Xenopus tropicalis: one gene and its partners. The protein of the gene in region 2 binds, or shares a complex with, the protein of the main gene of each other region. Links are inferred from orthologs where the notes say so. Each region holds a gene or a part of one and is shown on either strand. Other genes may lie near its edges. The genes, in order: bmp2, nog and bmp7.1.

Region 1 (3,756 bases), on a different chromosome or scaffold from region 2:
CAAAAAACATTTGGAATTATTTCTTAGGGTGATAGGTCCCCTTTAAAGGCAATAGGGGTCATTTTCATTACCCTGGGGCATAAGTGCTAGAGCATTAAGGTGCAAAAGAGCACACCCATTAGTACTCACTTAACAAGCACTTTGAGCAGAGTAGAGCACGGACAAGCGCTGGCCTTATTGCTTGTTCTAACAGGTCTTACTGGCCTGCAGTACAGGGACTCCAGCAGTGGCGTAACAGAGGTGGGGCATGGGCTGATCAGGGTGGGGTATGTGCAGATCAGGGCAGGGTATGGGTGGATCATGTGCGTATTTAGATTCGGTGCTGCCCTAGGCTCCAGACCTAAATACACCGCTACTGTTTGTGTGACGTCACATGACATCACCCACAGCATGCACGTGACGTCACTTCCACCAAAGCCTGTGACTCCTAACCCCCTCACCCTCCTGCTCTGTTGCCGGATTTACTAGGGAAATCTGTGGTGAAGGCTGGGGGAATTTTTTTTATACATTAAATAGGCACTGGCCCTCGGGTGCCTTAATATAAATAGGCCCCTGGGTGGATCAGAGACAGGAGGGGAGGTGCTGCTTATGAAGGGCAGTTCTGAGCACCTGAGTCTCTCAAGGTAAAAACTTTAAGAAAGAAGGGGGATTACAAATTTATGGGCAATTACATTGCCAGTAAATTTGTAATACCGGCACCAGCCCTAGGTGGGGAGCTGCACAAGCATGAAAAAAGTTCTTTGGGGTGTCAAATAACAGCTGTGATTGGCTATTTGGTAACCCCATGTGACTGCTGGATTGCAGGAGGCTCTGCTTGGGGTAAAACTGTGTCTCTGGGCTTCCAAAACTTGTCTCCAAGCCAGAAATGTAAAAATGGCACCTGCTTTTAGGCCACTGGGAGCAACATCAAAGGGGGCAGTGAGCAACATGTTGCCCCTGAGCCACTGGTTGGGGACCCCCGTATAAATGATACACACAGTAAGAAGTGGGAGGGGGCTGGGGGCTCCCTCAACAAGGGCCAGGTGGAGTGTAGAACCTGCTGCAGTGCAGATAAGGCCAAATGTGGTGTTCAAAGTGCAAAAAATGGCTGTTTGCACTTTGTTCTGCCTGATCACTGCCCCCCAGTGACTAGAGGGGTACTAAAGCCATAATGAATAACCATAATGAATGCGTTGTAGCAAGTGCCATAGCAGGAACAGGGCTGCTGCAATGGGAGTGGGATCCAGCAGGGGGCGCATACAATCTATATATAACAGTGGGGATGTGAGGAGGGCTGGATTGGTCAGGTTTGGCGAGCACCTCCGTGCCTGTGTGCGGCTGGCTCCTGATTGGCAGAGAGCCTGATGACATCAGGATAGAAACAAAAAGCAAAGGGACGCACGAAAAGTGGAGAGAGGAAGAAGCTGACCGGCCGGGGATGAGCTGCAGCCCAACTGCCTCTTACAGCCGGGATACAGGGAAAGGTCGCTCCTCTGCGCATCCCACTCCAGCGCTGCCTCCTTGTCCCATTCAGCGCTAATGCCTGCGGCTGCGCTGCGCTGCTATTTGCACAGGAGATCGCAGTGACATCCCGGTGCGACTCAGACCGACTCCAGTCGGGGGAGGATAACTTGGTGCTACATTGGGGCGTTCTTGGTTAAGGGACACACGATCAGTCGCACCGAGTATGTGCAAAAAGAGAAGGACTGGGCTGCGACTAGACGCGCAGATTTGCCTAATAGCCCTGGGAAGGAGAAGTTTGGAGTAAAAAGAGTCAAGTGATGTGGAAAAAACACACGGAGAGCAGAAAACCATCATCGAGACACAAACTCGGCGCACAGGTACTTACCCATCGCGACACAATCGCTCCCCCAGCTGCTGGCGCCGGTGTGGTTTGATAGGCAGTTGCCTTTATGGTGGATGATGTGTGCAGTAAATGGGCAGTAGAACGAATTCTGAATTAGGCTTTTAGTGAAGCCTTCTGATTAACTACAACTTCCAGCGTCTGTCCTGGGATACTAGGGGCTGTAATAGAGCAGCTGGAGACCCCAAAGTTGCAGTCAGTAATCCGGGCAGCTACTGTGTCGCAAGTTCCAGGCGTGTGGCCGTTCCCACTCCCCTATCGTTCCTTTCACCTGATTGCTTTTATTACGTGCGGATTTGCCGTTGGCCAGTGACGAGGGTGCATCTGCGCCGCGATCCCACACCTGCACCCTGCCGCACAGACGCAACCACTGCTTCTGCAACTCATGGGCGACTTTTGTCCCACTGCATCACTGCTATACAGTGTGTTGGCTGGCACAGGCTGCTCGCATTTAAAGCCCACTCTCTATAACAATCTGCCCGGCTGATAGGAAGCCCCTCATTTATTTTCCCGACGGGTTAACCATTTCCAGGTCAGCGTGGGGGGCAAATCGCACTGTAGGCAGTAGTGATCCCTACTAGCTTGTAGTATAGGGGATGGGGCAAGATGACTGCCATGCTGTTTTTGCATGTGTTTGGTTGATTAGAATTTAATAATGATACATGTAGCTTTGCTTTCTGCCATAGTGCACCTTTATATATAACTAGGGATGTCCTGGTGGTGCCCAGGGCTAAGCAGACTTTGTAGCTGCAACAGCCATTGTAATGTGTTGATTGTTGTACTTAAACAACTGAAGGACTGCAGGTTGGGCAATTCTTATAAAGTGTTACTGTCTTCTCATTGCCCCACTGTTCTGGTCTGCCACTATCTGCTAGTTCTTAGGGTTCCATTAGCCTTCCATTCTGCAACATTTACTTCTTAGATTTATGGACATGTCTACTGTTAGTCTGTGCTTCAGCCATGGACTATAAGGGTGAAGACACACAGAGCTACTTAGTAGCAGCTACTTGTTACGGCTACTAAGCACTAGAAAATACCATGCCATAGACAATACTGAGAATTGCTAAACATATGTAGAGACAATTATCAGTAAATGATCAGCATTGTCTATTTTAGTAGCCACGACAAGTAGCTGCTACTAGTAGCTTTGTGTGTCACCCTTCTAGTCCATGGCTGAAGTTCAGACTAACCGTATACATGTCCCTAAATCTAAGAAGTGAATGTTGCAGAATGGAAGGCATGTTCTAGATATGGCAACTCTGCTGCTAAATGAGCAGTTGGCAAGTCTCTCTGTGTTGTTGGTTGTTTGTGAGACTATGAAATACGTGTAGGACGAGCAGTCTTGGCTTTCCGCTGGGGGGGCACGTGCTCTGTGTGATGTGAGAGAGATCGGCACTGAACTGTAATGTGGAGTTTCCCAAACATGTCAGCCCGTGACCGCTGGAACAGACGCAGCCCTTGTCTGTCTTGATCCACAGTGCAATGCAAAACTTACATGCTTAAAGAAAAATTGCAAATTGTTGCACGTGCGCTCACTACTGCAGCTGCTTTACATTATTGTTGAACTAATGTTGTTGTGTCACCTAGAAATCTATATATTGTAATCCCCTGGGAATCTCCACACGCAGCTTGGGTTAGGCAGGGTGCCCTGTATAAATTCCATTGGGTAACTGCTAAGAAGTTTTGGTGTTGTCTGGTGTGTGCTGAAGCCCTTTCACTCTATAGATGTTGTTATCTGCTATACAAGCCAGATAGATCTCTTTCAACTAGCACAAATCGCCCGCACCCCTTCCCAATCCACAAATGGGATTTTATACCTCTGTAGGAAACATATGAACATCCAGGTACAGCAGCTACTATGTCCCTGTGTGGCTTATGCCATAGACCAGTACTGGCTTCTTGTCTATAATGCA
Region 2 (2,342 bases):
CTCCCCACCCCACCCCAAAAAGCACTTTGGAACATAACAGATAAGCACCAGTTTAATATTTTAGTGGTTTACTTTTATTCTGCACTCTACAGGGGGGAGAAAAAAAAAATAAAAGAATAAATAGCAGATAGTTCTCATTTACAAGAGTAAATTTTCATATTTCAAAATGTGTTCTCTCTATGTACAATAAACTGAAAATTATATCTTACTCTGGTTTTTATTCATTTTTTGTTTGTTTTTGAGGTTCATCAAAAAGGCAAGTTTTCCATAAAGGGAAAAAATGCTTCTATATTATTAAACTATTAAATTTGTTTTTCTTGAAAAAAAAAAAAAAAATGCTTCGCGGAGCGAAGTGCTCTTTTTTGGATATAAATAGAGATACATTAGGCAAAAAAAATAATAATATTAAAATAAAACACAACCAGGATAATAGTGTTGGAAATACAGTAGACACTGGTTATTTAAAAGAATAATACTGACCTTTTAATAGTAATTTAGACCAATGCCATATATACACACATATACATTTCTACATATTACAGTGCATATAACATGAAGCTTGAACCATGAAGCTACTGTCTTTTGCATTAGTCCAAGAGTCTCAACATGAACATTTGCACTCAGATATGACAGGGTACTGAATGGTTATCCATGCACACTTCTGCTGAACCCTGCGTTGACATCTCCACCTTAAGATGGTCAAATGCATAGACTTGGCAGCTTTGCAAACCATGCCCTCTGGCACAGAACAAGACCTCTTACTGTAGCAGCTACCTACTTTCACATAGCGAGGCCAAAACCTGGTCCCTAGGTCATTCCATGTGTAAAGGACAGGACAGAAGGTCTGGGACCAGAGCCACATCTGCAACTTTCTCCTGAGTTTCTTGCTCAGTCTGTGCTTTTTGCCCTGAAGCCCCTCATAAAATTCCAGTCCTTTGATTTCTGCTGGCATTGCCCCTGAGGGCTTCTGCCTAAGAAGGAGATCCAACTCCCCAAGGTCCTCCACTCCAAGTCTCTCCTCCGGCAGGTTGATGGCCATAAAGTTGGGGTCAAAGTGGCCAACCATTAAAGTCCTCAGCAAGGTCTCATTAAGATCCTTCTCCTTGGGATCATAGATAGGATCCGGATGCTCAATAAGGTCCACCAGTGGTAGGTTTTCACTAGGAGCTGGTCTGATGTGCAGATAATGTTGGCAGCCCCCCTGGTCTATTCTAAGTCCCAGGAAGACCATGAGAGCATATATAGTCACAAGGCACTGGGAATGATCCATGCTGCACACAGCTGCACAATATAAGAGTAGGGTGCTCCCGATTTCTTGCCAGAGATCATAAATAATGCATCAGAGGAGGAATTGGGGGGGTTCAGGGGCACCCCCCTCTCATTGCAGACAAGTGGAAGTTCAGAGCCCCGTCTGTCTCCCCTGCCCCTTACGCACAGCCCTTGGTGGCACCACTGTGTCTGCCTGCTGCCTCCAGCCTCCCCTCTCTTAAATATTCTTCACTTTCAGCTCGATCACCATGGTAACCAGAGACTCGATCTTCTCCAAGAAGAAACAGTGGGACAAGGGAGGTGTAAGAAAGCTGCGACGGTCGCAATCAGCCAGCTGTGCGCAGCGACTCCCACGGCTCCTCGCTATAGGGATGCAGCCAAGTTGCACGATCCCTTACATCTGTCCATGCAAATCCCCGCAGGTCTCTTTACTCGCAGGAGCCCATAGAGAGGTTGCAATGTGCTGCTGGGGGGCTCTGCTGCTCTGCCCTGGATAAACTCTGCACCACACTCAGTCTGTACCTCGTCCCTCTGGCTACTTAGGATTTATTAGCCAGGCTCCATACGGCTGTGATGTCATTCATGTTTAAGTAGTGTGGTGGCCCATGGCCAGGGTTGGTTGCTTGGATGACACCTCCCTCTTCTCTTGAGTGGTGGGACCTGCGGTGGGCGCGTCTTTCAGTGGGACAGACCGGAGCGACTGCCGCTTGACTCTGGCGCCCTCTGCTGGTACTCTATGGCACATTGCAGCACTGCAGGAATTCCCTGTCTGCGCTAGCGGCTCCGCTCTCTCACTGATTTAATCATAACGCGAAATCCTCTATCTGTAGTCATATTTGTCTTGAAGCATCAGAAGATGTTTTGTATATTATTGATAGTTTCCCTATATTTAGAACAGAGCCAGCGCTCTACCCTCAAACGTCACATGCGAGTTTAAAATGTAAGCTTCGCGGATCAGACTATTCTTCTGCGGTCTGGTCGCTTGGAAAGTGTAACGTGGACTATAAACTCCGCCGGCTACATGTGGGCTCTGCGGTTGCATGTAGTACAGTTACCCCCGCTGAGGGAAGGGG
Region 3 (3,756 bases), about 20 Mb from region 2:
TGCTGTACTGTATTGTGTTATAACTTAATATTTGTGTTCCTCAAATACATTTTTACAAAACATGCTATAGTTTGGATGGTGAGGCTAGTAACGCACGAGGAAGACTTGTCACCCAGTGGCAACTGAGCTGTTATCTTACTCGGCACAGAAGAGCCTGCAGGGTCACTCCTGACTTCCTGGACATTCTGATTGGCTGTTTGCAAAGAGACTTGTAAACAGTGAAGCATCATTTTGATCTTTCCTTGCAACCACTATTCAAGAATTACTAATATGGTATTAAATATTATTGTGGAAGGATAGGTTATCCCCCAAGTCATCATGGAGGGGCACATTTTGAGGTGATAATTTTGGGCTGTGGGCTGCTCGGTCCTGTTCTGTCGAGCGGTTGCACAATTCTGGGTGTCATTGTAGTTTAGCTGCCTCCGCTCCCTATAAATTTTATAGCAGTATAAATGCTCGTAAATGTGTGACATTATTACCTTAATACATGCATTAAAAGCACGTACGGAACTGGCCTCAAATCTTGGGATGAATAAAGTAAGCTCAAACTGAGTCTATTATATTTATTATAAGATAAAGAAACTTAACCTATGCCATCAAGGCCTTCTCTGTTTCAGTTGCACTAAAGGTGGCCATACACGTTAAGATCCGCTCGCTTGGTGAGGTCTAAGGGACCGATATCGGCAGCTACAGTCGGCCCGTGTATGGCCACCGTAACATCCAAATCATAGATGTGCTAAAGGCAAAATACTGTATACCAAGGACCCACTTATTTATAGATTGTAAGCTCTTTTGGGCAGGGCTCTCATCACCTTCTGTTTTTCTTATTGGTTACTGTGTATGTCCAATGTATGTAACCCACTTATTGTACAGCGCTGCGGGATATGTTGCCGCTTTATATGTTAATAATAATTCCTCATATTTAGATTGCAAGCTGTCAATGCAAGCATTCCATAATAGAGACAGCTTTGACTGCTAAACTTTCAGCAAATCACTGTGTGCATTATTAGCATCGATTCTGTTTATAGAATGTCCCAAACAGCCTTCCCTGTCGGAGAAAAGGAGGCTAGCCACATATGCCTGTGCCCTCCAGTTGAAATGATAATGAGACACAGACAGTCCTTAATCTGTTTACTTTCAATTACCAAATAGACAGTGGCCCACCCTTGTCTGTAGTCTTGCAAACATCCTGAAGCAACCTGATGGGATTCACAGTGCAGTTATTTCTTTCTCTCTGTTTATGCCCTCCTTCTTACTGCCTGCTCCTCCCACCACATTCAGTCTCCTGCTGGCTCCGTCTGCCTTCACAAGCCACTTAGACTTTGCTAGAGAGACAGAGAGGACAGATCAGACCCTACAGGGCAGAAAAAACAAGGATTAATCTGTATATCTGTCTTCCTTTGTCCTGTCGCCTGTTACAAAGTCTCACAATGACTGGGTTCAGCTGATGCAGAGGAAGCCTCCAGCTGTTCCAAGTTAGTGAGAACTTCAGCTGAGAGTTGGATGCACTGGTTTGATTTAATGCTCATTTATTGATGGTCTCCCCTTTGGAGAGAAGGGCAGGTGCTGTAGGTTTTGCCGTACAGATCCAAGGGAAATGAATGTTCTGCAAAAGAACAAAACGGGTTCTGTGCTCCTTTGGACATACTTCTTGTGGAGGATCATCCTGGCCGACTTCACCTTGGACAATGAGGTGCACTCTAGTTTTATCCAAAGGAGGTTGCGAGGCCAAGAGCGCAGGGAGATGCAGAGAGAGATTTTATCCATCCTGGGGCTGCCGCACAGACCCAGACCCCATTTGTATGGAAAGCAAAATTCTGCCCCTATGTTTATGCTGGATTTGTACAATGCTATGACAGTGGACGAAGAGGAAGCTGAAGGCTTCTCTTATCCATACAAGCCCATCTTTACCACCCAGGGGCCACCGCTGGCCAGCCAACAGGACAGCAACTTCCTCAATGACGCCGACATGGTTATGAGTTTTGTTAATCTAGGTGAGTACTGTTATCCCTTATCTCTTGCCTGGAGATGTCTTAACAGTTTGTTCTAGGTTCCAATAAACTTTCATATATGGCAGAAGTTTTATTGATTATACTATGATTTCAGTAACATTTTCCCATGCTTTACTGCAGAAACAGTCTCTGCAAACACAGGTTTTTAGCATTGCACGGAATTAGATTGTAAGCTTTTTACTTTTCCTTTACCCATTGGTGTCTGCTGGCTTTGAAGCTTTGCTTATTAGGAATGCAGTAGTCATATTTGGCAAAAGCACTTTGCTTGTAGTTTGTTTGGCGTGCCTTCCAGGGCATATTCTCAGGTGGAATGGTCTAGCTGCCTGCTACATCCGAGCAATTTCTTGGGATTGTACATGATCCGACAGGTCTGCGCACTTCTTTTGAAGTAGCAATTACTGTACAGAATAAGAAGAGAGCAGGAAATTCTGAGCCCAGCAGAGTTCAAAGCAGAACGCTCAGTGATTCACACTACGAAAATGAGCACAAATGGACTAGAGCCCTATTAGAGCGCTTAATAACATCCTTCAAACTGCATTGCTGCACCACCCTTTTACTGCTTGTGTCTTTGCAGCAAGGGATTCTCTAATGTGCCTTTTCAAGAAAGATGCATAAAGTAACTTGATTGCTGAAAGCTTAGTGCGTACACGGAACAGTCTCCCAGCATGGGGTTGTGCAAAGTGTTTCATTAAAGGGACAGACACACAAATATCTGTCCGTGTGATAAAATTCCAAATTATATATGTAGACACGTTTTAGACAGGTAAAAATACCCCGTAATATAGCACAGCCTACTAACTAGTATGAACTTCTAATCCCAGCGTTCCCAGTCGGCTATGTGCCGTCGGGGCAGTCAATCTTCATTGCACAGAAAGTTGCATCTGAATCTGCTTCCCTGTTTTCTGTAGATCAGTGGAAACCTTATGTCTTTAAATGATTGTGGGGTTTTGCCGCAGCGATAAAAAAACAGCTTGTGTTGTATAAACAGTGTTGTAATATTTGTTGTTTACATTGTTTTCTCTGTTATTGTTGTAATATCAACCCCCCCCCCTCGTAGGACGAACAACACTAGCAAACAGTCTAGAAGCAAGGGAACAAATATGAGGGCTTGATAAGACTACTAAGGCCAAATTTTCTGCTTAGGGAGAAGATGACTATCTTATGAAGGAGAAATAACCCGTAAAAATAAAATTTGTACAGACCTCTACCTCCCAAAAAAGTTAGTTGAACATCGCTGACAGGAGAGACATTGCGTTGAAACAGTAACTGAAAACCTTTCTGTAGTTCCATTGTTGATTCTTTGGGAACTTGGATTATTAGACTGTCAACACTAAGTAAGAGGGACGCAATCAGCCGGAGAAACAACCCTTTATTTCAAGCAGGTGTTCTCTTATCATAAATTACATTGTAAAATGCAGCATCTGTGATGGTTCCGCTAGCAGCCTATAATTTTAAGTTTAAGATTAGGGTGGCACAGAGTTAAGATGGCTGTACACACATACATGTGCTCAGTTGGTGGGATTGCCAAACAAGTAGATCTTTCACCCATTTTGCCACCCATGTACAGGGCAAAAGTAAGCTGATCTGGTCAGGGCCAACAATTGGATCCTAATGTAGGTCAATGCAGATCTTTTGAGGGAGAACCTCATCTATGAGCCAGTGATTCTGGTTTAGTGGGATTTACAAACCTGCTGGATAGATATCTGGCAGATTTTTAATAGGGATGCACTGAACCCAGTTTTTT

Evidence for each region.
Region 1: the proteins of nog (region 2) and bmp2 are in contact, whole or in part, in a crystal structure (PDB 7AG0), measured with the Homo sapiens proteins. The link is inferred for Xenopus tropicalis from reciprocal best matches to the Homo sapiens genes NOG and BMP2. Residues at the interface, in NP_005441.1 of Homo sapiens: Ile33, Arg34, Pro35, Ala36, Pro37, Ser38, Asp39, Asn40, Pro42, Leu43, Val44, Asp45, Leu46, Ile47, His49, His199, Arg204, Arg206, Pro219, Ile220, Gln221, Tyr222, Pro223; in NP_001191.1 of Homo sapiens: Trp310, Asp312, Trp313, Val315, Ala316, Pro317, Pro318, Gly319, Tyr320, Ala368, Ile369, Ser370, Met371, Leu372, Tyr373, Lys379, Val380, Val381, Leu382, Lys383, Asn384, Tyr385, Gln386, Met388.
Region 3: the proteins of nog (region 2) and bmp7.1 are in contact, whole or in part, in a crystal structure (PDB 1M4U), measured with the Homo sapiens proteins. The link is inferred for Xenopus tropicalis from reciprocal best matches to the Homo sapiens genes NOG and BMP7. Residues at the interface, in NP_005441.1 of Homo sapiens: His29, Tyr30, Leu31, His32, Ile33, Arg34, Pro35, Ala36; in NP_001710.1 of Homo sapiens: Phe365, Pro366, Leu367, Asn368, Ser369, Asn375, Ile378, Val379.

The regions. Positions count from the first base shown.
Region 1 is NC_030681.2:25,391,471-25,395,226, forward strand, and holds the start of bmp2 (bone morphogenetic protein 2 precursor), read left to right. Parts: upstream 1-1,423; 5' UTR 1,424-1,820; intron 1,821-1,828; exon of another isoform or gene 1,829-2,140; intron 2,141-3,756. UniProt on the Homo sapiens protein: Growth factor of the TGF-beta superfamily that plays essential roles in many developmental processes, including cardiogenesis, neurogenesis, and osteogenesis. Induces cartilage and bone formation.
Region 2 is NC_030686.2:25,897,584-25,899,925, reverse strand, and holds nog (noggin), read right to left. Parts: upstream 1,271-2,342; coding exon 602-1,270; downstream 1-601. UniProt on the Homo sapiens protein: Inhibitor of bone morphogenetic proteins (BMP) signaling which is required for growth and patterning of the neural tube and somite. Essential for cartilage morphogenesis and joint formation.
Region 3 is NC_030686.2:5,568,758-5,572,513, forward strand, and holds the start of bmp7.1 (bone morphogenetic protein 7), read left to right. Parts: upstream 1-1,411; 5' UTR 1,412-1,597; coding exon 1,598-1,994; intron 1,995-3,214; exon of another isoform or gene 3,215-3,235; intron 3,236-3,756. UniProt on the Homo sapiens protein: Growth factor of the TGF-beta superfamily that plays important role in various biological processes, including embryogenesis, hematopoiesis, neurogenesis and skeletal morphogenesis.